Linked DNA regions of Rhinolophus ferrumequinum. The protein of the gene in region 4 binds, or shares a complex with, the protein of the main gene of each other region. Links are inferred from orthologs where the notes say so. Each region holds a gene or a part of one and is shown on either strand. Other genes may lie near its edges.

Region 1 (7,687 bases), on a different chromosome or scaffold from region 4:
TTGGACAGACTGGCAACTTCTAAGCTCTTTCCTTACATGCCGGACCAGACACTGGAAGTTATGAGTTTTTTACATTATGCCAATTTGAGGTGGGTTTCTGTTACCGACAAACAAAAGAATCCTTCTGAAAATAGTAATACTTACGTAGCACTTTTCCATTTATAAGCACTTCCTCAGCTTTTAGCATTTTTAAAGAGGAAATCAAGGCCCAGAGATGGGATGTGAATACACAAAGTTCAAACAAGGTAGAAGAAACAGCCTGGGCCTCAGCTTAGAGATAAGCAATCCAATCCCTTTATTTTACATATAGAAAAATAGGCCATATTCTCATACATTCTTGGTGAAGCTTTTTCAGAAGATTTAACAACACTAATTAAGTGTAAATGTACAGAGCCTTTGACCCAACAATTGTCCTTCTAGAAATAGATCCTACTCACACATGTGCACAAGTATGCTCATTGTGGTGCTGTTTGTAAGAACCAGGAACAAAAGAAAAAAATAATAAAAACCAAAACAAACAAAAAAAGGAAAAAGAAATTTTTAAAGAATTTAAAAAGAACTGGGAACAATTAAATGTCCAGCAATAAAGAAAAGATTAATTTTAGCGTACACTGTGTGGGAACACTTCACAGCCAATAAAAATGAGGTGAACTAATATGTACCCCAAAGAGGTTCTCCAAGACATGGCGTTCAGTGGAAAAAGCAGGACTGAAAAAGGACTCATAGGAACATGGAGAGTGTGATTGCATTTATGCAAAAGAGAAAATAAGGAACCGACACATGCACGTGCACATGTGGAGGTATAGAATACAGAGGGCTGAAAAGGCTGTCTGCCCGCCATCCTTAGTGGTTACCTCTGAGAAGGGCATAAGAATGAAATGATCTCCACCTATTGTTTTATGTCCTTCTGCATTGTTGTAATGCATTATGAATGCACTCCTGTATTACTTGGCCAACAGATCCACAAACAAACAATAACCAGGGGACGGAATATTCTGCCCAGGGACACAAAACATGGTAAAGGAAGACGTGGTTCAGAAAATAGACCTCCTGATTCCTACTCTGGCCTCATTCCTCTACCGTCTCTGAATCTCCACAGCTGTTTCCTTTACTCAAAGCCCTCGTTATAATCACGGCAGCCACCATTTATCTTGGAGTCGGGTCACCACAACCCTAAGAGGTAGAGATTACCCTCATGCGTATTTTGCAGATAAGAAGACTGAAGCTCCGGGAGGGGAGGTTCCAGTATTTGTAATTTTTGGTTTAATCCAATGAGAGAGAAAGAACTTTGTAACCCAGCTTCCTGGTTCCTCACACCCAGAAACCACTCAAGAAATGCACGTTGGCCTGAGAGAACTGACCTGATACTCCTCCTCGGTAAGGCCTTCAGCCAGGGCATGCTGGCGCAGCTGGTCAGGGTCCTGGGCATGGAAGAGGCGGCTGAGCAGGGCATAGATGTAGGGGGCCTCAGGGGAGGTCTGCAACAGCACAGCCAGGCCTCCATACCAGGCAGCCCGTGATAGGTGGTGGGCATAGAGGCGCTCTGTGGGTGACAGCAGGCGAAAGGCCTCGCGGCAGTCCAGGCTAGACACGCCGATGTCATTGGGCAGGATGTACTGGGTGTCCGCCATGGGCCCTGCTGAGAACCATCACCATCATCATGGCCATCATTTACCCCAAACCAACCGCACACCTGGCTCTGCACTCTCGTGATCTCATGTAATCCTCCCAAAAGCCCATGAGGAAGGGAGTACCATTGTACCCATTAACCAGATATGCTAACTGAGGCTCAGAGATCAGGTGACTCACCCAAGGAGATGACAAAATACATTGGTGGGCCATATTTGGCCTGTGGCCCCTCAACCTAAAAGATGGAATCCAACTAACTAGTCTTACGGATTGGGAAACTGAAGCCCAGTAAGGCTAGGAGCTTTGCCTAATAACACAAGGGAAGGGTCAGAAGTAGAGACCTGCATCTCCAGACTCCCAGCCCAGGTCCCGCTCTGGCTCCCCACCTCTTTCTCTGACCTACTAGCCTCCCCTTCAAAATTCTCCTGCAGGTTCTTCAATTCCACGCACCACAGTGGGTGGTCACAAGGATAGATTCCCAGGCTACCAGCAGCAAGATCCAGGTTCCAATCCTCACTCAGCCCCAGACTCCTATTATAAAATCAAGTTGTTTCCCTTTTCTGCACCTCAGTTTTTGCCTCTGTAAAATGGGGGTGATAATCCCAACCTCACCATGTGGGTGTGGGTGTGCAAATTAGATGAGGTCACACCGGATGGAATGTATCTACAGCAGTAAATGATTTTCCTCCTGCTCTTTTCCTCTTACTGTTCCCGGATCTGTCCCACTCTTATCCCTATAACTGCCTTTGTGTCTGTCCTCATCCTCCGACCCTCTCCCTGTGCTCGGGCCAGGGGAGCTACAGAGCCACAGAAGTTCAGAGGTGGAAGAAAACTCACTTTACAGATAGGAAGGCTGAGGCTTAGTGAGACCAAGCAACTTAACGAAGGTCTCACGGTCCCGGTGGGTACTACGGGTCTCCCAACCCAGGGCATTCTCCACAGCGTCCCCCCTTACTGGGAATGTGTTTCCAGTATCCCCCCGCCACTCCCGAGGCTCCGCCCCAACAGCATAATCCCCGGGTTCTGAAAGGGGTGTTAACCCTTTGCTGCCCGCAAAGCATTCCTCAACCTCGGGGCCGCGATGACTTTAGAAGGGGTACTAGATGGGGGGCAGAAAGGGAATGCTCTTGCGCTCGGTCCAGACTCGCCCTGTCCCCGAGGAGGACATACTGTGACCCTGAAACCCGAGCGCCGTGCCTCACCTGCAGCAACTGCTCCGATCGCAAACTCACTTCCTGCTTCCGGCTCCCCCATTCATTGGGGCTCCTCTAACTCCGCCCCCACCGGCCAATTGTCCGGCCTCGGGGCCCGAATGGGCGTCGGTTCCAGCCAATAGGCGCTCCGAAGCGAGCTCCGCCGGTCCTCCCGCTCCCCGCCTTCAGGCGCTACTGGTTCGCATGCGGTATGGCCCCTACAGCCTTGGCCTTTTGTCCACTGGCAGCGGTCGCCCGGGGGCGGGAACCTGCGTGGCCGGCCTGGCCGCGGCCTAGTCCCGGCAGACAGGGCTGACAAGGTCCCCTGAGTCCGGGAGGGGTGGCATGGGTGTCATGGACAGAGTACCACAATTTCCCTCCACATACACACCCACGACTCTCCTTTGGGGGTTTTCCCAGTCGCCCGACTTCAGTTTTGCAGGTGGGAACCCGCGCAATGGGAATGATGTGTCTCCCACTTCCTCACTGGATTCAAGAGCCAGGAAGTGGAGACTCTTTGGAGACTGCAAAGCGATCTGTGCTGGGAATCGAGGTTACAGGCGAGCGGACTCCTGCCGGGGCTGATGGTTCCACCCGTGCCTGCACCACCACCAAATCACCATGGGCTGCGGGGGAGGGAGGGGGGTGGGGAGGAAAGGAAGCCGGACTTGGCGGCAGCCGCTGAACATCTCTGAGACTCAGTGTTTTTCAGCACAAAGAGGCGAGGGGCCTGGCAGTTTCTTAGTGCTTATCGGGTGCCTACTGGATGAGAAAGACGCCTGCCATCCAGAAAGGCTGCGCAGGGCAGAAACGGGCCGGAGGTCCACCCTTGAATGTTTGGATGGTCTCCCAGAAGGACATCCTGGGTGGGGCACGGCGCCCAGCCAGGCCAAGTGGGGAGCATTGTGAGAGTCCCAAGTCAGAGTGGGGGGCGGAGTCAGGCCATCTAAAGTCGAATCAGGCCTCCACGTCCTACTGGCTGTGTGTCCTTGGATGGGTCACATTACCTGAGTCTTGGCTTTCTGAGCAGAAAAACGGGACTAATAATTGTCTCCACTCCCAGGGATGTTGTAGGCTCGAAAGAAGTGTTGACTGGGCAGTGCTGCCCCCTAGTGTTGTACAGAGAGGGGTGCGGGGATAAAGGGATACCTGAAATCCACACACCCTCCTTGCCAGCCTTTGCCACACCTGCATCTAGACCCAGAGCAGCATCTGCCCACCATGAGCGTGTTTCTCATTCACAAAGGTTCCCAAGCCCCACTTGGCTCAACAGTGCTACTATTAGCTCTGATGATGATTCCTTAGGAAAGTCACCCCTCTTCCCTGTGCCTCAACTTTCATTGTCTTTAAATTGGGTATAAAGTCTTCCCTGACTTGGGTGAAGTTGAAATGGACACCAGTAAAGGAGGCAGTGCTGTCCACGGCCACCAGTGGGCAGCTCAGGCCAGCAAGATCCCAGTACTCCTGGGAGCCCCATCCAGGCTGCATTTTTCTGATTACAGCTAATCTGAGCCTTACTGTGGTCCTGTGCTAGTAGCTTGACATGTAGGCTCTCATTTTATTCTTGCAAAAACCCTGAGATAGGATATCATCATTCTACCCATTGTACAGATGGGGAAATTGAGGCTAATAAGTTCATCGACTTCCATAACGCCACCCAGCATGTCCTCAGGTGTCCTTGAACTAGGGTCTAGCCTTCCTCAGACTTTCCACCACACTGTTCCCTCCACCTGCCCCAACACACACACACATACATGGTATCACATGGAGCAGTCCACTCACTACAGTCATGGCTTTGGCTGTTCCCCATGGGAATGAAGAAGTAGGTGAGGAAATAATATTAAGTACCTACTGTGTTACAGGTGTCCTCCATAATTCACAACCACCTGGTGACAGGACTATTATTCCATTTAACAGCTGAGGACACTGAGGCTCCAGGAGCCGGAAAGGGACAAAGCTGGGCCAAGACCAGGGCAGTCTGACTCCCTCCACAACCATCTAAGTTCTCCCCGGGGTGGTGCCTATGCCTTCTCATCTCTCTTGTAGAGTCTGAGGTTCCCTCCTAGAAATGGGGTGGAATGTTCCCGTCTGGTTCCCAACCAGGTCAGAAGAGAGAACCACTGGGCAGAGTTGGATTGCTGGTGCTCTGTGAGTGTGTGTACATGTGTGTAGGAGTTGCCATGCTCCCACACCCTCCCCAGGACCCCCAGCTCGGCTCCCCCACTGTGGCAGTGTAAGGCTGTGCTCTGGAAGCAAGAATCTGATTACATCCTCCTCTCACTACTGACAGGTGCCCTCTCAACAGCCCCAGGTCTGGTCTCTGGGCCCCAACCAGTTGTGTGGCCCGGGGCAGGCCCCTCCCCTAGGAATCGTACTCCCTAAGGCAGCTGTCTTCCACTGAGGGTGTTGCCCAGGTCAGGCTTGTATTCAGAGTCTCTTCAGATTTTGATGTCTCCAGAACCTCGACCTTTCTTCCTAGCCCACTCCCCCTAGAAATGGCTTGAGGGCAACCTGAGCAGCACCCCGAGCTCACCTTGACTCTCAGAGGAGACACTTAGCCAAGATGAATAGGGATTCAATTCAGACTTGGCCTCCATGGCAACCAACGCCCGCCAGGCCCCAGCCCAACATCTCCACACTTGGCTCTTTGGTCATCAAGCATTTTTCCTGCCACACCTTTGCCCACACTGTTCCCCTTATCTAGACTGCCCTCCCAACTCCTCCCTTTCATTCAAGGAAAGCAGCACAGTGTGATGGAGAAGAGGGCCGTCTTCAAGGCCAGGCAGGCAGCCATAGCTGTGAATCTGGCTCGGTCACTGTCTAGCTGTGTGGCTTGCAGCATGTGCCTTAATCTCCCCATAAACAGAAATGGTAACACGTCCCTCCCTGGTTTCCTGTGAGGATTAAATAACCAAACCTCCGAGAAGCAGAGCCTGGTGCCTGGTGGGTGCTCAATGAATGTAGTTATTATTACCATTAGCACAGTGCAGGGCACATGGTGGGCATTCGGGAATGGTGATCCTCGTGTCACAGCCAACGCTCTGGAACTGTGAGTCCTCTTCCCTCCCTTGGGTCCTCACTGTCCAAAATGAGGTTCTGAATCCTCTATCCAGCATCTTCCCCATCAGCACAGCCCCAACCTCTGGCTCCAGCCTCCTTCCTGTTCCCCTGCAGCCCCTGCTCCGGCCACTCTGAATCCCTCACTCAGTTCCCGCTTACTTACCTCAGAGCCTGTGCTCCACTGCTCCCTTCTGCCTATTGCATCCTCCCCTTCCTGTGGGGGGTTCCAATGTAGCCATTTAGCTGAGCTCCTACGCCACCTCCTCGGTGAAGCCTCCCTCATGTTTCCACCCACCAGGAAGGCCTGCTCCATAGCCTCTAATTCTGACCCTGGCACGTAGGAAGCTGTGCTGTCATTCAGTAATTTGGTCTGTCATCCACTAAACTGTGGACTCTACCAGGCAGGGAACCAGATCTGATTGTCTCGGTGTCCCCAGAGCCCCCTTGGCGTGGACTCCAGCCCATAGTGGGTATCAGCAGATGCCGGTCGCAGTCTTCCACCCACCTGTCATTCACTAGGGCTGGAGGCATTGCACACATGCGGGACACATGGGATTGGTGAGGGCAGCTGAGTAGCAAGGTTTATAGAGGAACCCAGGGCAGCAGCAGGGTGAATGTCTAGAACTGGGTTGGCAGGCTCAGGGTACAGCCGGCCTAAGCTGGGGGTCAGGGGCCTACGGCCCTTTCACTCCCCCAGGGGCACAGTGTAGGCGGCATGATGTGAAATGCCCCAAGAAGGGCCAGGGCATGGGGGTGGGCTTCCCTCCGTCAGCCCAGGACAGAGCTCCATCATTTTGACTTGGGTAAGGATCTTGGGGACCCCCTTGGGGACCAGAGTTAAAAGGGGAGGGGCACAGCCCATCCAACACGTCCATCTGGTGTAGCTTTGTGCCAGCAGGTAGAGTCCCACATGCAGAGCTCCCTCTGGGCTGCAGGAAGTGGGGGACCTAGGTGGGCAGGCGGGCGCAGCAGCAGGGGTCCCCAGGCAGCTTAGTCCAGTGGCCCCTGGAAAATGAGGCGGACGCAGCCATGCTCACCGGTGAGCCAGGCCCCACAAAAGGGGCAGGCGGCATGGAAAGCGTGGGTGCCATGGGGCAGTGGTGTCTGGGCCCAGTAGCGGGCAGTCTTCTCGGAGCAGACATGGCCGCAGGGTGCAAAGGCGTGGCTGGGCGGCCCGGGGTCCAGGCAGAGGCCGGCCTCCTGACCGAGCCACAAGGGCACATAGGGCCCCACGAGGCGGCAGAGAGGACACTCTCGCTCCTGGGGACCCCGCTCTCGCCGGCAGCCCCAACCGTGGTAGCCATGGACGTGGCCGCAACGAACATAGACCCAGGGCTGCTGCTTGTCTGGTGCCGTGCGGCCACGGGCCGGACTGGGGAAAGCCAGGGTGCTGAGGCCCACAGGGCACTGGGGCCGCGCCGCGTTCGCCTCCTGCCGCTGGGCCTCCAGCTGCTTCAGCGTGGGTGCCCGCAGCAGCCCCGCCGGTGTGCGCCACAGCAGCGTGGCCCCACATAGGTCGATGAGGGAGCCATCCTGCAGCACGTTGGACTCGTTTTCCACCTGCCAGGGGAGCAGAAGGGCCTTACTGCCCAAGAGGTCCCCAAAACCCTGCCACCAGGCAGTCATCTATCCCACTGAACCACCCTGGAGAGGGCACTCTGGACCACCAGGATGGGCTGGGGAGAGGGGGGAGTGGCTGGGGCAGAGGAAGGGAAAGGACCAGGGCAGTGGAGGGAGGCAGGAGGACCAAGAAGCCATGAGAGAGAGCAGGCAGGTGCTCCCAGGCACACAGGGTCTCTTACTTT
Region 2 (7,279 bases), on a different chromosome or scaffold from region 4:
CTGGGCCGGGACAGGGGCTCCATGGGGCCCCTGGGGGCCAGGTCCCCCCCTCCCTCCCCACGACCCCCACTGAGATGGCAGCACCTTGCTGTACGAGATGGAGTCGAACATCTCGCTGATCTGGGCTGGCGTGTTGACCTCCGAGGCCGGGGCGGACAGCGGGTGGGAGGAGGCCAGCGCGTCCACGGCCATCACGCGGTACAGCTCGTTCTGCACTATGAGGTCTTTCTGCGAATCCCCGGCAGCCGTCAGTAGACTGGCCTGCAAGGGGGCACCCACGGCTTCCCCCGCCCCTGCCCGGCCTGCAGATCCCAGGGCCCCTGCACAGCTGGCTCACCAGGTTCCAGGTGGGTTCTGCATAGTCAGCACCCAGGTACTCCACGTAGGAGGCAAAGCCCTCATTCAGCCACAAGTCATTCCACCAGGCCACGGTCACCAGGTTCCCAAACCACTGTAGGGGAGGGGGGTTAGCCCGGCCAGCTACTCTGGCCTTGCAGTCACTAAAAGCACCCAGAGGGACCCTTCCCGAGTGTGCAAACATGCCAGACCTAGGCTCAGCGCTTCTCTGCCATTGTGACTGCCCCTGCTACCTTGCCCGCTGCCGAGGGCAGAGACGGGACCTGTGCCATCACCTCTCAGCCTCCCGTGTCCTTCTCTGCACTCCCTATGGGGGGTACCTGGTGCGCCAGCTCGTGAGCAATAACGGTGACCACGCGCTCCTTGTTGCTGCTGGACGAGGACTGCGGGTCAAACAGCAGGGAGTTCTCCCGGTACGTCACCAACCCCCAGTTCTCCATGGCGCCAGCGTTGAAGTCGGGCAAGCCGATCTGGTCTGGGGAAGCCAGGCAGTGGGCAGGATGGCCTCTGGGTGCGGGGCCCCCTCTGCTGCCCCCCACGGCGGGCCCTACACTCACCGGATTTCTCAAGTGGGTAGGCTGTGTTATAATGTTGAGCGAAGAAGCTGAGGATGGGGCCTGTCTTGTTCAGGGCATACATGCCGTGACCTGCCGCGGTTGCACTAGGTCGAGCCCAGATCCGTATCTACGAAAAGGATGGAGGTCAACCAGGGGCCCCCTCTGGGGTCCTGGTGCAGGTGGGCGGAGTCTCCAGGCCTGGACGAGGTCAAACTGGGAGGTCTGGTCACAGAAGAGAGGGCTGGGGGCCTCTGAGGGGCTTTCAGTCCCAGGTAGGAGCCTCTGGGGAAAAACAGCAGTCAGAGCCACCATCTGTCTGGCAGCCCTGAGTCGGGAACTCCCTTCATGAGGACAGACCCATTTTTCAGATGCAGAGACTGAGGGTCAGAGAACTCAGCTAAGAGGACTCAGAACTGGGATTCAAACACTGGCCACAATCAGTGGCTAGGACAGGGATGAGAAGACACAGGACTATCCCTCCGGCCCGGCCAAGGCTGGGGAAGGGCAAGGAGGTGCAGCTTCGTACCAACACGTCATTAGGCGCCTTCTGCTCCACACTTGTGAACTCACTAACGATGTAGGCCAGCAGGTACGTGGACATGACAGGCGTGGTGTGGAACTCGGTGACGCTCCAGGTGGAGTCATTCAGGAACGGGACACTGGGGCCTGGGAATGGAGCACTCAGGCATGCAGGCATGCACCCTTTCTCCAACCCTGCACCCCAGCCCTTGGGTGCTGGCTTCCCAGGGCTGTGTGGCCCCCGGACAGACCCGCTCACCTTTGGGCAGCATGTTGGACAGGGCTGTGAGGTTACGGGGGTAGATGAGAGTGATGTTAAATGTCGCCTTCATGGCCGGTTCGTCGAAGCATGGGAAGGATTTCCGGGCATCTGCAGACTGCATCTGCGTCGTGGCCAGCACCCTGCCCAAACCAGGTGTTAGAGGGGTGCCGGCACAATGCCTGCACCCGTGGGGGGAGGAAGAGGACTTTGGGGGGCTGCTGGGGGTGCAGGGGAAGGGGTACACGGAAGGATGCTCTGGCTTAATCCCTGGCCTCCCCATCTCCCACAGGCAGCCTCTGGTTCCCAACAGGCCAGCAGACTCTGGCATAACCTTATGGACTCAGGGTCAAAGTCCTGGCAGGCTCCATCCCTGTTACCTAGGAGACTGAGGGCAATTTCTCTCCTCGGAGCCTCAGTTTTCCTAGCTATCCAAAGGGCACTTTCATCACTTATCCCTGACTCCCTAATGTGGGGTAAGGAGGCCCTCAGGGAAAGGCTTTGTGGTCTCAGTAGTTGCTCCACCAGAGCTGTGTTTGGAGCAATGAGCCAGCCAAAGGCTCCAGAAGTTTCCAAGGCATCAAAGCCAAGGCCGTCCTCGGCCTTAGCTCTTCCTCAGCACTGAGGACGTGCCCCCACCGGGCAGACGCAGGTCCCACTTACTTTTTGACATTGCCATCCATGTACTCGCTGCGGTAGAAGCCTGCCAGGTCATCGGCCAACTCGCCCACAAACTCACTGTCCATCTCGTACATGCTGCCCGCCTGCAGCTCGCCGTTAAGATGCACCACCAGGTACTCGGTGAGCTCTACCAGCTCGGTCCTGTCGATGGTGGGGGGCTGGGAGCCCCCCACACCCCGCAGGGTCACCCTGTGCCCGTTGGGGGTGGTGTAGTTGAGCTTCTTGCTATGGATGATGATGAGATTGGTGGGCTCCTTGCAGGTAAAGCGGACGGTGCTCCAGCCCTTGAAGATGTACAGGCCATTGTTGTCGGGGGTGAGGAAAGGCTGCAGCTTTACGTTGTAAGACTCAGGCACCAGGGTCCGGGGGAGGCGGTACCGGTTCCACGGCTTGCTCTGGTCCAAGGTGGTGCTCACGGTAGTGGCGGGGCTGGTGGGGACCACACCAGGAGAGCTCTCGGCGTTCTTGTTCTTCTCCTGCGAGTACAGCACCGACAGAGCAATAATGGTGCTCACGGCTGCCAGGCCCAGCAGTATGCCCAGGACGACGTGGGGCTTGGCCATGGTGAGGGTGGAGAGGGAGCTGGGGGAGGCTCAGGGCAGGCAGGGAACAGGGCCGCCTGGGGCCAGGCTTATATCCCGGAGGGGAGGAGCCCACAGCCCGCAGACTAGGCAAAAATTAACCCGGCCTCAGACAGCCGGAGGTCACTGGACTGGGCAGGGGTGTGCTTTGCCCAGGCTCCGGAGAAGAGATCCAGGAATAGTGCACCTGCCGGGAGCAAACAGTGTCTGGTTATAGGCTGCAGGCTGCCCTGGAGCCTGCCCAACCAAGGGCGGAAGGGTAGGGGGCAGCCTGGGCCCAGAGGGTAGGGTAGCGGGCAGGTGGCACTGAGCTGTGTGCACATTGAGGCAGTGGGGCAGAAGCAGGAGGATCGGGGTTAGAGTCAGGGAAGGACTTCCTACAGCAAGAGGTGGGAGACGCAGAGAAGGGAGGGTCAGTTTCTGGGTCAAGAACACACTGGGTCTCCCCTGTGGTCGGATGCTGGAAAGATGCCTGGGTTCCTCAGTGACGCGCTCCCAGCCTCCCCTGCATTCCTCCAGAGCAGACCGGGCTCCCAGGTGTCCCTCCCTTGCCCTTCCTGCCAATAAATGGTTTTCCTCAATTATCAGCTCACTGAGTAGAAAACAATAAGTTGTTTTGCCTTTTCAAGAGAGGAGCCTGGTGGAGGCTTAACCTTTTCCCAGCCGTGACCTTGGGCAGGTAGCTTTATCTTCCTGAGATCTCTTTCCTCTTAAACAAGAATAGTGTTCACCGCTGAGGTTTGTTGGACAGATTTAATGAGAAAACATATTAAACGCCAAACAGTAGAACCTAAAAATCACCCCCGCTTCATACTCCGAGTTCATCGACTGCCTCTTTTCCTATACTTGGTAAAAATGAAGATATTCCTTATCGTACTCAATAAAATACGTTCTTCGTGTAAAGCAATGTTCGTTATTACCTTTCCATCCACCAGCCCAGTTTTTCAGACCTGGCCCTGACCCCCACATCCAATCCCCCCACACCCCGATCTCACCATGTCCTTGGTCAAAGCCATTCTCATTGTTTCTGTGGACACCGCTGTACCCTCGTGGACTCCCCACTTGCACTCAGGCCCCCTCAAACCTGTTCACCCCATAAATTGGATCATGATTTTCTACTACTGCTGAAAACCTTCCTCTTTGTCTTGGAACCACAGCAAATATTCTAAAGGGACTGACCAGTTCGGGTGCTATCAGCCTGCCCACGGTCCAGCCTCATTCTCACCACGCTCCCCTCTGTTTTGGTTCTCCAACCTCTCTGGTGTTCATCCAGCCCCTTCACCACAGGACCTTTGCACGTGCTGTTCCCTCTGCCTGGGCCATCTTCTCTCCCTTCTTGTCTTGGTTAATTCCTATTCACCCCGCAAGTCTTTCTCAGAGAAGATGCGTGACGTCCCGGCCCAGGTCAAGCCCCTGTGAGCTCCATTAGCGCCGCAAACCTCTTTTTTGAAGCCCTGTAACTCAGCAAGTTCCCCATCTCATCTGTGTGGTTGATGCCTTAAGTCCTGCCCGTCTCACTCATGGACTGGAGGCCCCGTGAGAGCAGTGCCTTGGCTGCTTCTGCTCGCCAGCACTCGACACATGCCTGGCACGTAGTAGGTGCTCAATACCTACTTGTTGAGGGAACGCACACATGCATGAATGGGCCAATGAATGAATGCGTCAATTCAGGAGTCTCGCCTTATGGGAGTCTTTCTAGGCCATCTCCAGTTCTGTCCCTGCCCTTACTCTTGCCGTCTTCTCTCAGCCTTCCTCCATCCGGGGCACACAGGTAGGACCCTTGTGGAGGCCAAATGCATCTCAAGACTTGCATCAGTCTGCTCCGCCACCTCATCAGCTCCTTGAGGACCTCATTCATCTGCCACTCCCTGCCTGGCTTGGGCCTGCCACCCCCGAGCCTGCATAAAAAAATGGAATGCACCCAGCGATGAATTCATTCAGGCATAACTGCAAGAGGGAAGGACTGCCAACTGTCACCTGGCCAGCAGAGGCCAGGGGCTGAGTGCTGGGTCTTCATGGGAATCCTGGGTGCCCATCTTTCAGATGGAATGTACTCTGAGCCCCCAGCATTTCCTTCTCTCCCTCTGGAGACCTGCCCCTGGTGCTGTGGTCTGGGCAGTGTGGACTGTCCACTTCAGTGGCCAGCAGCCACCCCTGCCAGGCCTGGACTGATGGCCAAGGGACACTAGCAGGAAGCCAAGTGCCCAGAGCAGGGCTGCAACTTGGACATGGTGAAAGAAAGAACAGTGACACACAATGGTAATGTAGCATGTGCTCCCAGTTCCGTCCATCAGGGTTAGAATTTGCCAAGGGAGGCCATCTTTATAGTACCCCTGAAGGCTGGCACCCAGGACCCATGCATCCCCCTGAATTGTGTTTCACCATGTCCCGGAGGAGGCCTGCAGCCCCCTCCCACCTTTGCAGCAGAAAGACCCACAAATCCACTTGGCCTAATCCCTTTTCCAAACAAAGAAAGAGGCCCCGCCTGGCCCACAGTGGTCTCTTCCTGTTTGCTTTGGACATGGACCACAGGCCCAGCTGGCTGGAATCTTACTCTTTTGGAAAGGGCCCATTTGCCCTGTAATAGGTCCCTGCTCTGGACACCAGGCCAGCCCATGCTGGGGGCGCAGAGAGGGGTATGCTCCACAGCCCCCACCTCTGTAACACAGAATAGGGCCCCTTCCTTCCGCCCCCTGCTGTAGCCCAGCGTTGGCCACCTCCACACCCCACCAGGAAGTGGTGGCAGTGCTGTCCTGCCCTGTCACCCAACCCTGCCACACACTTTGGCAGAGGGATCTTCCTCTCCTGCTCAAGCCTGGTCTCTGGCTCCTCACTGCCCGTGGAATAAAACCTCAATTCTGGCTTGAGCCTCAAGACCTTCTGTGAGCCTGACCCTCTGGCCTCTATTTCCAAAGCCCCCTGTGGCTCCAACTGCTGGCATTTCCTCACACCCTCTGGGTTTTTTCATATCTCCGTGCCTTTGCTCATCCTGTTTCGGCCACCAGGAATGTCTTTCCTCTCCCTCCTGTCAAACTCCTACTCATCCTTCAAAACCCAGCTCATATGTCACTGCCCTTCTGTACAGGCAGCCCTTCTGTGCGTCCCTGGCCTCTGGTTCATGCCTCTGTCACAGCACTTATGAAAAGGCCATCTACATGTTCAAAGCCTGCCACTGGACCTCGGCATCCCAAGGGAAGGCTCTGTGACTTTGTACACTAGTACAGGTCAGGAGCCCAATAAACGATGGTTGAATGAATGACAACATCTACAATCCTCGCCATGGCTTATAGGTGCGGCGTGATCCAGCCTCCCTGTGATTCTCTGGTCTCATCTCCTGTCGTCTGCCCTACTGCACTTTCTCCTCTGCCTCCCTGGCCTCTCGTGATTCCTCAAGCCCACCAGGCTCTGCCCCCATCAGTGGCCCCACACAAGCTGCTCTTTGGGCCTGGTACACTTCTGGCTTTCCGTCACCTACCACCCACTCTTCCCGGAGGTTCACTTCGGGGATGCCATCCCAGGACAGCCCTGCCCCCAGCACCCCGGAGACTGAGCATCATGAGCACCGTGCCCTCCTCCCCAGACAAGCACCTAGTGCACAGCCAGCGGGTAACACAGCTTGTGGAATGGACGCATCACGGAAATGAGAGACAGTGGTTAAAGATGGAACTCTGTCATTAAGCCCCTGGAATCTCACTGAGGTCAGGTTTCCCCTCTATCCCCCCACTCTCCTTCTTGGGGTCCTAGACTGCATCCACAAACCACCTCTGTGAGCCTCCTATACGTGATTTACTTAATATTTTTCTTTACATCAATTCACTCCTTACTCTCCTTCTGAGGAATCATGACTACGCAATCAATCATGGTTGGATGTGTTATGTCATATTTTTTCCGACACACGTTTCAATTCATGACTACTGATTTCAAAACTATTCATCTGGATAGCCCCTAAAATCATCTTGTAGAGATGCACCCACTTTGGGAATCACTGCTGCATCTGGCGTGATTCTGGGGATGGAGTCACCTGCAGGCTCTCTTTGGGGTGGGACCTTTCTGCCGGTGAACAAAATGTTTGTGTTCCTTTGACTGTTCGTCTCTTGACCGCAGAAAAACCAAGCACCTCCAGCCCCATCTCAACCAAAGCAGCCTTTCCATGGGTTTATCTATTTATAAATACATGCCTATGTTTTGATCCAGAGAACAAAAGTTCCTCTCGTTAAAAAAAACAAATAAATAAATGAAGGTTGACAACGATCATGTGAGAGAATATTTAGGACAGAGCCACACATGTAAAAGACATCAACTGACCTGGAAAACGCAGCTTCATC
Region 3 (7,382 bases), on a different chromosome or scaffold from region 4:
CCTCCTGTTGTCTAATTTTGATCACTGCAAGGCCATCTGTTCATTCATTGGTTGATTAATTCATCCATTCCATAATCACATGTTGAACACCTCTTCTGTGCCTGCACCAAACTGGAGACTAGAGATATAAAGATATAAAGATAAAGGTCATCACTGCTTCAAAGAGCTCCATCAGGGATGGGACAGAGGAGGAAACACTCAATGATAACCCCTCTAATGGGAAGAAGGCTGGGAATGCCCCCTCAAGGCTGGCTGGACAGGAGGAGGCAGTGCCACATGAGGACTGAAGATGGCAGCAGATGCCTAAAGCAGCCTAAGGGGCTCCGGGATTCCCTGGGGCAGGCACCCAGCCAGGGCTGTGGGGTGGAGTGGACCAACTGACCTGGATGGGGCAGGGAGAGAGGCCAGTATCCCGAGAGTGCCTGTGCACCCTGTCCTTGGAAAGATGTGCCTTCCTGAGCCTAATCCCAAGTCCCTTGGCTCCTTGTCTGCCTTCCTACCACCTTTGGGAGGCAGAATTAGGAATTGGAGAAACTCACTGCATACTGAGTTGCCATGCCCCCATGTAACCCTCATGACAGCATTGCAAACTAGCGTTGTACTCACTTTATGATGAGGAAATGGAGGTTCACAGAAGTGATGGTGAGGTGACTCAGAAGTGATGGATCAGGGACTCAAAGCAGGGTGTCTGACCCTATTTCCCATATAGGGTTCTTGTACTCTGACATGAAGGCTTTGTACCGAAGCCTGGAGGAAGATGTCTCTAGCTGTTGGTGTGGGGAGGGTCCCAGGATTGCAGTCCAATTTATGGAGAATCCCTCTTTCTTCTCAGCTGCCGGGTCTCCTGTACTTGTACTCTCCTTTCCTTCTCACACCGCTCCATTCTATGTACCCCATTATACCCATGAATATGAATACACTTTTATATTTCATATGGAAGTCATATTTCATGTCTGTCAGTGTAATATTTTAATGGGAGTGACTTGTCATATTCATATCACAGTTCACTATTGCAAAAAGTATTTTTGCAATTATGATCTTATTCGATTCTCAGTCATCCCATGGGGGGGGTAATTTTATTATTCCCGTTTTACAGATGGGAAAATGGAGAAGCAGATTCCAAAGACAGTGCATTTTCCATCATTTACTCTGAACAGCCTCTACTATGGGCCTTTGCTTTTACCATTCTCCTTTCAGAAAGTCCCTTTCTTTCCTCCCCTCCCCCAAGTCTTTCGTCCTTCGAAGCCCAGCATGCACCCCCACCACCAGGACGCTTGCCCATGAACTCCAGTTCACACTGGCCTCACCTTTGCTTAGGCTCTTGCTTCATGTTCTCTGGGTGCTCACAGCCAGCACTACACAGCGGAATGCTCACAGAGGTGGTGATGTCTGGCCGGGAGGGCATGGTGGTGGGGACATGCTTGAATCCCTTACTCCCTGTGTGATTCTGAGCAACTTACCTAAGCTCTCTGGGCCTTGTCCGAGGCCCCCTGAACTCTGTAAAACAGGCTTAATTATAGTACCTACCTCAGAGAATCACTGTGCAGATTAAACCAGCTGTCCACTGCTCAATAAATATAACTGTGTATATAAAAGACCGTGAAGGCTCCTTGAGAATGGGGTCCTGTGTTCATATCTCCCAAAGTGTCTGGCATGACGCTCGCTCAGCCCATAGCTGGTAGCAAAATCCTTATAGCTGTGTTTCAGAATCCTGACTCCCTCTCCACTCCTGGCCCCATCCCACTCTTCTATTTTTGAAGAGAACAAGGGAGAATGGTTTACCTTGCTCTGCCTTTACCCTGGGTGTGGGGCTGCACCCAGGCATGTGCAGCTGGGATACCCTCAGCTTCTCACCCCACACTGCCAAGCCAGCAGTTCTCTCCTGGGAGCCTTGGAGCAGGGGAAGAGGCTTTGGAAACAAAAGGCCCAGTGTATGTTGAGGCTTAGCCTCTACATGTGACCTCCCTGAGCCTCGGTGTCATTTGTAAAATAGGACTGTTAGAAGGATGATTTGAGATGAGATATGTGAAAAGATCCTGTGAAACTTTAAGCATTTTACAGGCTTAGCAACTATTACTGTTAGTTAAACCTGCCTTCTGACCTATAGGTCTTCTGATCCATCTGCACCCCTAAACAGAAACCCCTTTCTCCACGAGGCCCTGTCCCTCCCTGCCCTCCCCTCTGCAGCCTTAATGAATTGCTTGTTCCCACAGGGCCTGGCACCACATATAGATGTGAGTTAGGTCTTTCTCCTCCCTCCTTTGGGCTGCCTTAAGCCTTTCTTTTAACATTTGTGACTAACCACCCTGTAGTGCTATGACAACTGGGTTTTGACAGAATGCTGGCACCGTGCTTTTACTAGTGTTATCGCACTAAATCTTCAAAGAAGCTCTAGTGAAGTAGGTCCTGTTATTACCCCTGTTTTAAAAATGGTAAACTGAGACCTGGAGAAGTTAAGTAACTTAACCCTGGTTCCAGAGCTAGTTAGTTCTGTTAGTGGAGCAGAATTTAAACCAAGACAATTCAGCTCTAGTAGCCTTACGTTTATGTACTATATCATGTTTCTTCCCTAGTAGACTCAACCATACCACATCCTTCCTAATTATTAGGTGATGAGCTCCTAGAAGGCATGGAGAATATCTTAATCACCTCTGAGTTCCCCCACAGTGCCTAGCATGGTAAGCTATGCAGGACGCAAAAGCTCCAGGCAGGGGTCAAAACACTTGGCTTTCAAGCCTGATTAGTGCCACTATTGGGGGAGTCACCTTACCTCTCTGAATGGGACCATAGCTCCCTGCTCAGCTGGTCATGAGGACTGGGTGACATCACATATCTGAGAGTCAGGAGTGTTAGGAAAGTGGGAAGCCCTGCACCCCTGCCGCTTTCCTTTGCCCGAGTTAGAGTTACCGTCTGAAGGCGCCAGTGTCGGCGGGGCTACTGAAGATGCAGGAGCCCCAGAGCACCAGCAGGAGTCCCCAGCGAGGCATTCTGCTCCATCCATCCATGCTTCTCCTGGGTCCCGGCTCTCTGGGATCCACCGAAGCCTTATGGCTCCCAGAACCTTTCTGCTTTTATACACTCCACACTCAGAATGGTGGTAGTTGTGCTCTCCCTGGGGCAGAGATTTATTACCTTGAGTCAGATGGCAAGGCAACCAGTAATAAGACCAAGCTAGGTGGGTGAAGGGTGACCAGGTTTCCGTATGGACCCAAGGAACTAGAGGAAGGAGGGCTGCGGGAATGCAATTCTCTGCCCCGTGACGCCAGCAGCCCCATCTCGGCCTGGCCCTGTGACTCCCAGAGGGAACAGAGGCTGATGAGAAATAGCACTGCTCAGGAGCAAGGTCAGGGCTGAGACAGGCATAGCAACTGGGTTTCCAACTCCCAGACAGCCTTCACTCCCATGCCCTTGAGGTGCTATCCTCTATATTAACCTTGGCTGTGGCCCCAACTGGCTTCTCCCAGAATGCATCTCAGTGTTCCCATCTGGAACATGGGTGACTCCTCCTGGTTTGTCCCCTAATAAAGCGAGACCTGGGGCCTCAATGCTGCCACCTTCCAGGCCTCTGTCAGTGGCAGCCATTTATGGGAAAGTGCACAAGTTCCGACAATTAAGTTTGCAAACTCATCCTAGAAAAAGTGCTACCTACCTCATTGCTGAATATCACTAATCACCTTTGACATACTCTCCTTGGGAAGCTATGCACCAACGCCAGTGCCTAGTCCACCCTTCAAAGCAATTTTGGAACTCTTTTTCTGGAATGGCCATCAGAGCTGTTGTCATATTATTCTCGGTGTCCCGAATGCCATCAACATGTGTTCCTTTCAGTATTTCCTGCATCTTCAGGTAAAGAAAGAAGTCATTGGGGGCCAGATCAGGTGAGTAGGGAGGGTGTTCCAATACCGTTATTTGTTTACTGGCTAAAAACTCCCTCACAGACAGTGCCGTGTGAGCTGGTGTGTTGTCTTAACGCAAGAGCCATGAATTGTTGGCAAAATGTTCAGGTCGTCTAACATTTTCATGCAGCCTTTTCAGCCCTTCCAAATAGTAAACTTGGTTAACTGTTTGTCCAGTTGGTACAAATTCATAATGAATAATCCCTCTGATATCAAAAAAGGTTAGCAACATTGTTGCAACAAGTTCATGAACTTAATTGTCACACCTCGTACCTCGCCCTCAGTGAGCCGGGGCCTAGGGTCAGGGGCTGTCCCCATCCTCTCTTGACCTAGTGTTGTTGGGAGGGAAGGGCAGCCTTCAGGGTCTTGGGGAGGTTTCTGCAGAAGATCTATCTGAAGGCTGCACAGGCAGGCAATGAATAACTGAAGAGGGAGAGAAAAGAGTTCCAGTGGGAATAGCACGTGCCAAAGTCCTGAGGAGAGAGGGAACAAGGTGACAATAAGGGCCTAAAGAAAAGCCAATGTGGCAAAACAGAGATGAGAAGGAGTGGGGTGAGAGATGGGACTGGGGAGGCAAAGGATGAGAAGATCTAACATTTGTTGAATGCTTAGTTATATACTCGTATGTCAGGCACCATTCTAAGTGCATTTAACTCTCACAACAACCGTATGAGGTAGTACCATCATTACTCCATTTTACAGGTGAGGAAACTGAGATACAGGAGGATTCAGAAAGTAACTTGCCCAGGGTCACACTGACAATAAGTGATGAAGACAGGCTATGAATTTAGGCAGTATGACCCAGAACTCGTTACATAGCTGACTTGAGTGCCAAACCATACGAGTTCTTGAACTCCATGCTATGTTTACTCTAAGAACAGTGGGTAAACAGGTTAAGGAGGGAATGATGATGTAATTATATATGTTTGCAAAGACACTCTGGCTACAGTGTGAGCTAGCAAGGACTTGGGAATGGTCCAGAATCATGTGACTTATACCAGTTAAGAAGACATGGAACTAGAGCTAGCTTGGACCAGGGGAGGTGGGCATGGTGGAGATAGAGAAGATTGGATGGGGTTGAGAGAAATTTAGGAAATACAGTCTGCAGGATTGGGTAATGAGTTGGATATGAGGAGTGAGGGAGAGGGAGGTTTCTGGATGCCTGGTAAAACATGGGGTACAGTGTAAGAGAACCAGGATTCCTAAAGGGAAGATGGATGAGTGGGGACCTGTTGAGTGTAGGGTTTTTTTGAGATGTCTCAGGGATGACATTAAATGACAGGTGCACATATGGACCTGGGTGAAAGATTTATGTGTTATTTGCAAGTGGTAATTGATGCCACAGGTGTGAATGAAAGTATCCAGGGAAGAGGGTAGAGAGCAAGAAGGCCCAAGACTTCAAACTTTAATGGACCAGTAGTGGAGGAAGAATCTGAAGAGGACACCGAAGAGGAGAGGTCAGAAGGCAAGAGGAAACCCATAGGTGTTCCTGAATCAAAGGAGGAGAGTGGTAAGGAGGGATGGTGAGCCGTGGTGGTCTTACCCACCAGGGCAGGTAAGATGCAGTTAAAATGTAGACATGCATCCATAGGTACTCTTAGCAGAACTGTTTGGGTAATGCAGAGGGACGGGACTTCAGAGAGGAATAGGTCGAAGAACAATGGGAAGTAGGGAGATGAAGGTAGTATAGTACAGCAGCTATTTTGAGAAGGTGGGCTATAACAAAGGGTGAAGAGGGTGAAAGCTGGAGGGGAATGAGGGTTTTTCTCTTCTTCCTTTCTTCCTCCCCTCCTTTCTTTCCTCCTTTCTTTTCTCTTCCCATTACTTCTCTTCTCCTTTCCCCATCCTCTCTCTCTCTCTCTCTCTCTCTCTCTCTCTCTCTCTCTCTCTCATTCTCTCTCTCTCTCTCTCTCTCTCTCTCTCTCTCTCTCTCTCATTCTCTCTCTCTCTCTCTCTCTCTCTCTCTCTCTCTCTCTCTCTTTCTCTCTCCCTCTCCCTCTATCCCTCCCTCTATTTCTGATGATGGGAGGGAGCTTACTATACTGAGAGGCATACAAAGTACTCTGTTGAAAGGAAGGGATAAACAATGCAGTAGGATTCCTAAGAGGGCAGAGGCACATGGGTGGTACACACTGGAACAGGAGTGGGGAACGTGGGAAGGACACGTGTGGTATGTATAGTTTATCTGCTTGGTATTGTATCCAAAGGACTTTCTGTCTGGTGACTTATCTTCTTGGACAAGTAGGAAGCAAGGACTTCTGCTGAGAATTGGGGTGGGAGGGGTTTTGGAGGCATGAGGAAAATTGAGAAGGTTTAAAATAATTATGGAAAGTGGAAGGTGGAAAGAAGCTGACCAGGGATACTAAGAGGATTTCTGGGAAGAATTAAGACATTTAGTGGCTGGAGATCATGACTTTACAGGCAGTCATTTCACCCTGTTCTCGGGCTCTCCTACCACCACCACCACAGTGTTTGGCTGCTTGGGAAACTCAGCAGGGAAAGATGCAGGGAAACTGTGTGGCTGGTGTCATACAGGGCTGGGGTGATGCCAGATGTGGATCAAAGATGAGGGACTTAGTGTTCTAGCAATAATGTTATTGAATGATGGACTGTGGGAGAGAAGTCAAGACAGGACAGGATGGGTGAGCTTGAAGGAAGCGGAGGACCATGGATGGGTGAGAAGAAAGAGCAGTGGTGGTGGGAATAGTGGAAGCATAAAGTGGAGTGCAGAGAGCTCATCGAGAGTGGGACATTTGAGATAGCCTCTTGGGAAGTGGAACAATTATAAGTGATGAAAAATCCAGAGTAGGATGTGGGGTGGTGGCTGAAGCAGAGTAGGGGTGAAGTCACCAGAAAGATGGCACTCAGGGAACTGAGGAGCCAGGGTGCTGGCCGGGTCACCATCTATGTGGATGGTGATGTCGTCCAGGAGAATTGGGGAAGGCATGAGGTGGAGGAAGGCCATAAGCAAGAAGTCATGGTCTTTAACACATGACAGGGCAGGACCTGCGTGCAAGTCCAGGAATGACAGTGGCAAGTTAGTGGGAGCAGGGAGAAGGTCCAAGGCAAAAAGCGAGGGCCTAAATGGAGTAGGGTCTTCTCCCAATGTCCACGTCAGCCCTAGGAGGTGAGTGGGCCAGTATCCTTGCAACACAGGAGGAAATCAAGACCAAGGTGGATAAGTAACATGTCTTAATTTATAGCTGGTAAGTGGCAGAGTGGACACTTGCATCTCCCATGTTATATCCTGTATCCTGTGTTGTATGTGAGCCCAGCTGCTGAGGCGGTGGGTACCTGCCCCAGAACGTCACTTCCCTCTACCTTGAGGCCCTCTGCTGATGGACAGTAGGTCAGGAATCACAGGAGAGTGGCTTAAGAGTGATGTTGTCTCCTTGCCCACCAACAGCCCTCACGAGATTGGGACCTATCATGGCCAGTAAGGGTGAGTGACCACCCACCCTCTCTCTCCCTTCCCTCCCCAAACCT
Region 4 (7,010 bases):
GCAAGACGATGTTTTGGGCTATGTTATCTGTCACCAAGGTGGTTACTGCACTTCACTGCTGATGACCACAAAGGCATGTCTTACCTGTAGAAAGGTCTGAATTAGAATTCTTTTTCTGGTCATGGTAAATTTCCTGTTTGGGATTTTTATAACATAAACATAGAACAGCGCACCTTCCAACTGTGTCTTTTCTGCAACTCTGTAGACTGCAGGCAGGGTGCATTCCTAGAGTGTAATCTCTTTCAGTGTTGAACAGACCTTGTCTTCCACACTCAACAAAGCAGGGAGGACAGGCGAGGAGACCTGGTCTGAGGGAAAAGAGGGGTCTCATTATCCCAGAGAATGTCGTTTCTTCATTTGGCATGGCTGAAGACCACCCCTGGAGAACACAACGTTACTGCACTGATTTGAGGCAAAAGAGGGCACCTATCAGAACAACCTGTTAACTAACACCACAGTGATTTTGAAAGAAGAGCCACTCCTGGAGGACTGCCTGATAGCCTGTGGAGGGTGTGGGGTGACTATTCCAAGGGGCACACAGGAAGACAGATGCCAGCTGCCACCCATAGCCTCTACAGAGCAGAGAGGACGGATAGGACACAAGCAGATGAGAGCAGATGTACGAGTCCTCACATGGCTCAAGCCCAAGGATTGGCAATGGGCCTTTGGTAGCTCAGAGCTCTGAAGTCCTGTGTGTGACATGACAGTCACCCAGATAGGAGCACATCAATGCCATCCTGGCAGCCCAATCTTTTGTGGTCCTGCAATTTAATATCAGTGAAAGAAGCCCTGTGTCAGCCAGCAAAAGTGATCTGATTGGTAGACTGCCTTCCTAGAAAGAGGATGCTCCATAGGCAAGAGTCTTGGAGCTATTCAGACATCTGGTCAACCCGTGGTAGAATGTGGAGGATGAGTAGAAGGCAGGGGCGGTGCACTGAAGGGAAGAAACAGGAACCAGGGACCACATGGCTCATGGTCCTGCCACCCCAGCAGTACCAGGCCCCAGAGAACTTAGAAAATTGGGAGGAAGATGCTCTGGAACATGTCTTGTGTGACCTAAGGGTGGTACTGTAGGAAGGCTCCTTCCAGTTCTGTGGTCCCATGAGTTTAAGGGACCACATGTGGTCTTCATGCCTTAGTTTACCCACTCTCAAAATGGCTGGGCTATTTTGAGATAATATAGTCAAACCTAGTTACAAACATATTTGAGGTCCAGGGTCCCTCCCATAAACTTCACGAATTCAGTAAAAATGAGCGCAGCCGTATGGTTTGTCTAGATGGCAGGTGCCCTCCTGCCCCTTGATGTTACCGTTTTTGTGGAGCCTTTGCAGTCCTTCGAGGGCTGGGCTAAGACTCATTGTCAGAAATTAAACTTCAATTCCACATCAACAAGCACAACCTAAGTTTTATTTGTAACGCTCAAACCCATTGCCTGAGAAGCGGCTGCCAAGTGGGCGTAAGGAGAGGTCCTGCCTCAGCCAAGACCTTCCCCTGAGCTGGACACATCTTCTTCTCAGTGCCAGGAAATCTGCAGGGCCGGAAGAGTGCTCAGGTTCTCTCTGGACAGCTGAATGGCCCTGTCAGAGAGAGGAAGCTGAAGGAAGCCCCCGCCCTGCAGGACAGAGATCTGCCTGGTGGAGAGTGGCGTCCCTGTGGACTGTTAAAGGTGGGTGGGGTCCCCACCAAGACTGCTCCAGGGGCCACCCCCACTCGTCCTCAAGGTCCGGCTCTGCCTGCTCCTGTCTCCAGGCGAGTCTTCCTGACCCTTGAGGTTAGACCAAGCTTCCTGTCATAGACTCATGTCACTCACAGCTGTTTTCCTTCCTAACAATTATTCCAGCTGCCAAGATATTATCTGTGCAATAATTGCTTAATTCTGACACCTCGCAAAGCTGTAGGCTTCATGAGGGTGGGGACGGTGCCTGATTCATTTTCAGTTGTCACCTCAGAGACAAATTTCTTTCTTGGCATGTGGTAGGTTTTCAATAAATAGTTGTTGAACAAATGAATGGATATGGTAGGAAAAGAATGGGTGATGGGGTCACACAGCTCTGGATTCACCATTTTCTTTCTGGGTGACATTTAACAAATGAACCTTTGTGGTCCTTGGTTTTCTCTCCCTACACAGTGGGGATAGTAAAATTTGTGTTGCAGATGTGGTGAGAAGATATATGCACCTGGCATGTAGCAGCTGCTCAATGAGTGCTAATCCTTTCTTCCTCTGTCTTAGAGTTGAGAATCTCTTCTTTTCCTTAGCACATTTCCTAAAGCAGGACTCACAGTTCAATGTGCCCCTTCTTCCATTGGCTTCTCAAACCACCTCAGCCTGGCCCCTCCCTCATCCTTCCCTGAGGCCCCAACTCAGCCTGCACCTCCATCCACTTCCTCTGGGCCTTTGGTGACCAATAAAGGGTTGGATGATTGATCAAGAATGCTTTGGGGGGGGACATTTCCGCACCAATGACTTGAAGCCATTATGACATTCAGGCCTTAACTCCTCACTTCTCAACCTCCCCAGTCCCCACCCTGGCTTCTGGAACACCTCCTCCTGCTTCTTGCACTGGCCCTTGGACCCCCTGCTGCGACTCCTTTGCCATCGCCAATCTCCCTAGTTTTTCCTCTTATCGTCTCTCCTGTTAACTCTCCTCCAATGAAACGTCTCCACCCGCAGGCCTTGGGTTATTCCTCAAGTGTCTGCCACCCACACCTGCGTCTCCGGCCCAAATCCGCCCTCTGAGCTTCAGAACTGTCCACTCACGTATTCACCACTGGATTGCAACAGAGGCTTCAGAAGAAAACCGTCTAAAATCAAACTCTTCACGTTCCTTCCTCAAAGCCCTGTGCCTCCCATGTGCCCCTTTTGGTTATTGGTTTCACCAGCCTCAGTCGCCGGATCTTGAGAACCCTTCTCCCCCTTTCCTCCTGCTTTCGTACCACAGTGTCACCACGAGAGCAAATCTTTGAATCAGAAGACCAGCATCATGTCACCCCTGCCACCCCGTGCTCAGACCTCTCCAGTCTCTCTTCTGAGGCCCCGACATCGACCTCCACGCGTGGTGTTCAGGCTCCAGCCAGCGTCTTTCCTTCCACATCACTCACATAACTCCCCAGGTTCGAGTGGCAGTCGGGTTTCATCTTGCACGTCAACTCTGATTCATGCAGTTTGGCCAAAGCTCTGTCCAGGGGACCCAGTGGGAAAGGCTGAGTCCCGTCATCATCCATGGGGCTAGGCCCAGGGAGCAGTGGCAATCTGGTTGCTCTCACTGCCCACCCTTCCAGCATCAGGGCCTGCTGGGGTCCCCCAACCAGCCCCACGCTTTCCCACCTCTTTGTTCCTCTCATATAAGCCACTACCTCTAAAAGCCTTTCTTCAGCTTCTAAGTCCAACTTAGTTTTCCTTCAAGGTTTGACTGAAAGGACATTTCTCCCCAAAACCTTCCCCAGCTTTAATGGAGTGTGGCTTCTCACGGTCTGAAAGCGTTTTGTTGGCACCTTTCCACTGGCTATACTAATGGAACTGTCAGAATGGGGCAGAATGTCATCTAACCGTCAACCAGCTAAATCACAAGTCTCTAGAAGGTGCGTTTGCTGGGTTGTTGTTTCTCCCTGCGGCTCTCAGGGGCCTCACATCGCTGTTTGGACAACTGCTAAGCCTCTCAAGGCCATAGGGTCACAGGTGTCCCAGGCCACCTGGGCATGCACATTCTCGGGGTCTCTCTGACAGACACCCCAAGGGGACTCGGTCAGAGGCTGGGTGGCTGGCCTCAGCCATCACACATCTGGACAGAGACACATCGCACTCCCACGTGGGACGCTCCTACATCCGGTAAACGCAGGCCCAGCTTGGGGGGACTCAGTAAATGTGTAACTCAGCCATGTACCAGCTCGTTCTGTTCAACAGCAAAGTGTGCGTCGATCATCCTGACCTCCTGGCAGTAGTCCCAGCGTGACAGTCCCTCTGGCGTCCGTCCCCCAGTCAGCCCTGGCCGCCTGAGGCCCCACCCCCATTGGTGATATAACCCCCTCTCCAGCTTGGGCACAGGACAGTCTGGGAACGGCTCCATCCCCACCCCTCAGATATAAATAGGGCCTCAGTGGCCCAGCCAGAGGAAGAGGCCACCCTTCTCGTGGGGACTGAAGCAGAAGGTAAGCGGGGAGCCCCTCCCCACACCACCCTTCCCTGCCCCTGCCCCCTCCTGTCTCTCTCTAGGCAGCTGAGTTGTCTGCTGGGCTTAGAAAGCCGGGGTGCTCTGTGGGAAGGGGGGGAAGGGCTGCTGGAAGGCGGTGGCTAAAGGGCACCCAGGAGCCAGAAGTCAGGGGACAGTGGTGACCTGTGCCACAGGGGACCTTACTACTGAAGCCTCAGAAGATGCCGCTCGCCTCCCATCGGGCCAGACGTCTAGCCCTGGGCTGTCTTCCATTTGGCCCCCCGGGTCCTTCCAGGGGACCTGCTCGTCCTCAGCAGCAGGCAGCGTGGCTGGGTCCTCCCGCTCCCTCTGAGTAGGGCTGGGTCCTCCCGGAAGCAGGGTCTTGGTGGCCAAGAGCCCACCGAGTCCTTCTTCAGTCAGAAGGGGCTGCGAGGCTGGCTGTGCAGGTAGTGGGGCTGGGGGAGGGGCAGGCTCTGGGTCCCCCAGGACGCAGGTGAGGGGTGGCCCACATTTCCGTGGGCGCAAGGCTTGGGTCTGTGCAGTCAAGGTCATCACTGTCTCCCTGAGCCTCAATTTGCTCATCCATAAGATGGGACAAATAACCATGCCTGGCCTCCCTTGCTCATGGCCTGTGGTGTAAATTAAGAGAGCCAATACAACGTGAAAATGCTTTCTAAAATTTCAGATAAACGAAAAATGTACATTCTTATTATTTTATTCAAGAGGAAATTTAAATCAGTGCTTAAGTGGGCGGGCAGCAGCTTCGGGGGTCTTTGTTTAAATCCTAGCTCTGTCTCTTACTAGCTGCGTGACCTTGAGCAAGTCACTGAACCTCTCTGTTCCTTTGTACAACAACACTGACAAATTCATTTAACAACTACTTATCAAGTAGCTAGTAGGTCCCAGGCATTTTTTGGAGAACAAAACAGAGCTAAAAGCCTGCTTTCATAAGGTTTGCTTTCACATAGGCGGAGATAGGAAATGAACACGATAATAAACAGACAAATGAAATGAATACACGATCCGGAGTGTTCCGAGGTGATCCAGGGCTATGGGAAAAGTCGAGTAGGGCAGGATAAAAGGGCTCAGAGTGCCAGGCGTCGGGGGACAGTTGCAGTGTGGAACATGGTGTCAGGGATGCCTCAGCAGGAAGGGTTGTTGTGAAGATTAGGTGAGCTGATACGTGACAAGCCTGGAATCGTGCCTGGCAATAAGCATCGTGTGTTAGCTGCCACCCTCACCATTTTCTTTACGCCACCGAGCCACAAGGAGGAGGGACCCCGAGAATGAGGGGCTGGTGAGAGGGAGCCCAAGGAGGGGTGAGGCAGGCGCGGGCAGCAAACCCACCCTTCTGGGAGCGCTCACCGCCCTGCACTGCCAGCTTATTCTCAGGCCCCGCTGTGTGCTGACTGAGAGCCAGCCGGGCGGCAGCTGACCACAACTGAGAGCAAACAGCAGCCCTGCCTTGAAAACGATCCATGAGATTGCTTCACCTGACTGCCTGTGCCCTGCGGTGGGGCTGAGTGGAGCGGGGCTTGTTTACCTGCACGGCCCACACCTGGGCCGGTGGGCACCTGTTCCTGCAGGCTCCCCAGCTCTCAGGCCCACAGCTTTCCCCTGATGACTCTGCCCTGACTGGACCTTTTACATGAGGCCTGTGTAGACAGAAAGGCACATTCCCACTATTATAAACGTTATACAAAACAAAAAATCAAAACCCAGCCCAAAATAAAACCTTACAAAAGCACGCCTCAGCCCATAACCGTGTGCTTTGCACATGGGTCATATAAACGTGTTCTGTGGAGTGGGAGTCCATTTTTTTTCACTGAAATGTGTAGACGTGGATGGATTTCTCCTGGGCTACATGGTTGCAGGGAGTCGTAGAACCACTGAAACTGGCGAGAGAGCACTTAATCACCTTTCACCCTTCATAAAACATTCCAGGTGCGAGGAAGCGAGCTCCCCCATCAGAGATGACTCTTGCCAGCGTGAGCCTGAGGGCCGCCGTCCTTTGTCTCCTGGCCTGCGCTGGCCTGGCTGCTGGAGACCGGGTGTACATACACCCCTTCCACATGCTCGTCTACAGCAAGAGCAGCTGTGACCAGCTGGAGAAGCCCACGGCAGAGACGCCCAAGGACCCGACCTTCACACCTGCCCCGATTCAGGCCAAGACGTCCCCAGTGGACGAGGAGGCCCTGTGGAGACAGCTGGTGCTGGCCGCCCAGAAGCTCGACGGTGAAGACAGGACGAGGGCTGCCGTGCTGGGGATGCTGGTCAACTTCATGGGTTTCCGCATGTACAAGACGCTGAGCGAGACGTGGAGCGCAGCCACAGGCGCCGTGCTCTCCCCACCGGCTCTCTTTGGCACCCTGGCCTCCTTCTACCTAGGAGCCTTGGACCCCACGGCCAACGGACTGCAGGCGTTCCTGGGCGTGCCCGGGGAGGATCAGAGCTGCACCTCCCGGCTGGATGGTCACAAGGTCCTCTCTACCCTGCAGACCATCCAGGGCCTGCTGGTGGCCCAGGGCGGAGCGAGCCGCCAGCCCAAACTGCTCCTGTCCACGGTGGTGGGCCTGTTCACTGCCCCCGGCCTGCGCCTGAAGCAGTCGTTTGTGCAGGGCCTGGCTCCCTTCGCCCCCGTCACCCTCCCGCGCTCTCTAGACTTGTCCACGGACCCAGATCTCGCTGTGGAGAAGATCACCAGGTTCATGCAGGCTGTGACGGGGTGGGAAATGAACAGCCCCCCGACGGGGGTCAGCCCAGACAGCACCCTGCTCTTCCACACCTACGTCCACTTCCAAGGTAAGGCCAGCCCTCCGGGGGGGCTCTGCCCCCAGGCCAGTGCCAAAGGGCAGCAGTTCT

Evidence for each region.
Region 1: the proteins of AGT (region 4) and DPP3 are in contact, whole or in part, in a crystal structure (PDB 5E2Q), measured with the Homo sapiens proteins. The link is inferred for Rhinolophus ferrumequinum from reciprocal best matches to the Homo sapiens genes AGT and DPP3. Residues at the interface, in NP_001369746.2 of Homo sapiens: Asp25, Arg26, Val27, Tyr28, Ile29, His30, Pro31, Phe32; in NP_005691.2 of Homo sapiens: Phe109, Glu316, Tyr318, Glu329, Phe381, Gly385, Ile386, Pro387, Ala388, Gly389, Ile390, Asn391, Ile392, Asn394, Arg399, Val412, Leu413, Val415, Ala416, Phe443, Val447, His450, His455, Glu507, Glu508, Asn545, Arg548, Leu552, Glu555, Phe556.
Region 2: the proteins of AGT (region 4) and ANPEP are in contact, whole or in part, in a crystal structure (PDB 4FYS), measured with the Homo sapiens proteins. The link is inferred for Rhinolophus ferrumequinum from reciprocal best matches to the Homo sapiens genes AGT and ANPEP. Residues at the interface, in NP_001369746.2 of Homo sapiens: Val27, Tyr28, Ile29, His30, Pro31, Phe32; in NP_001141.2 of Homo sapiens: Gln211, Gln213, Ala351, Gly352, Ala353, Met354, Glu355, Arg381, Val385, His388, Glu389, His392, Glu411, Glu418, Asn438, Arg442, Phe472, Tyr477, Ile864, Phe896, Ser897, Asn900, Gln903, Ala904, Arg907.
Region 3: the proteins of AGT (region 4) and REN are in contact, whole or in part, in a crystal structure (PDB 6I3F), measured with the Homo sapiens proteins. The link is inferred for Rhinolophus ferrumequinum from reciprocal best matches to the Homo sapiens genes AGT and REN. Residues at the interface, in NP_001369746.2 of Homo sapiens: Asp25, Tyr28, Ile29, His30, Pro31, Phe32, His33, Leu34, Val35, Ile36, His37, Asn38, Glu39, Lys91, Leu92, Ala95, Met96, Met99, Leu100, Phe103, Arg107, Arg148, Ala151, Ile152, Gly154, Gln353, Gln354, Asn355, Asn358, Glu391; in NP_000528.1 of Homo sapiens: Tyr81, Met82, Thr84, Gln85, Val102, Asp104, Gly106, Ser107, Asn109, Ser118, Arg119, Leu120, Tyr121, Thr122, Val125, Tyr126, Leu147, Arg148, Tyr149, Ser150, Pro181, Ala182, Leu183, Pro184, Met186, Leu187, Ala188, Glu189, Phe190, Val193.

The regions. Positions count from the first base shown.
Region 1 is NC_046294.1:5,506,198-5,513,884, forward strand, and holds the start of DPP3 (dipeptidyl peptidase 3), read right to left. Parts: upstream 3,009-7,687; 5' UTR 2,884-3,008; coding exon 2,832-2,883; intron 1,640-2,831; coding exon 1,362-1,639; intron 1-1,361. Other genes in the region: PELI3 (E3 ubiquitin-protein ligase pellino homolog 3), read right to left, coding at 6,873-7,442. UniProt on the Homo sapiens protein: Cleaves and degrades bioactive peptides, including angiotensin, Leu-enkephalin and Met-enkephalin. Also cleaves Arg-Arg-beta-naphthylamide (in vitro).
Region 2 is NC_046311.1:4,305,813-4,313,091, reverse strand, and holds the start of ANPEP (aminopeptidase N), read right to left. Parts: upstream 3,005-7,279; 5' UTR 2,937-3,004; coding exon 2,356-2,936; intron 1,836-2,355; coding exon 1,693-1,835; intron 1,581-1,692; coding exon 1,441-1,580; intron 1,042-1,440; coding exon 915-1,041; intron 833-914; coding exon 678-832; intron 452-677; coding exon 338-451; intron 229-337; coding exon 85-228; intron 1-84. UniProt on the Homo sapiens protein: Broad specificity aminopeptidase which plays a role in the final digestion of peptides generated from hydrolysis of proteins by gastric and pancreatic proteases.
Region 3 is NC_046305.1:26,930,505-26,937,886, reverse strand, and holds the start of REN (renin), read right to left. Parts: upstream 3,006-7,382; coding exon 2,908-3,005; intron 1-2,907. UniProt on the Homo sapiens protein: Renin is a highly specific endopeptidase, whose only known function is to generate angiotensin I from angiotensinogen in the plasma, initiating a cascade of reactions that produce an elevation of blood pressure and increased sodium retention by the kidney.
Region 4 is NC_046310.1:26,049,808-26,056,817, forward strand, and holds the start of AGT (angiotensinogen), read left to right. Parts: upstream 1-4,008; 5' UTR 4,009-4,146; intron 4,147-6,092; 5' UTR 6,093-6,121; coding exon 6,122-6,950; intron 6,951-7,010. UniProt on the Homo sapiens protein: Essential component of the renin-angiotensin system (RAS), a potent regulator of blood pressure, body fluid and electrolyte homeostasis.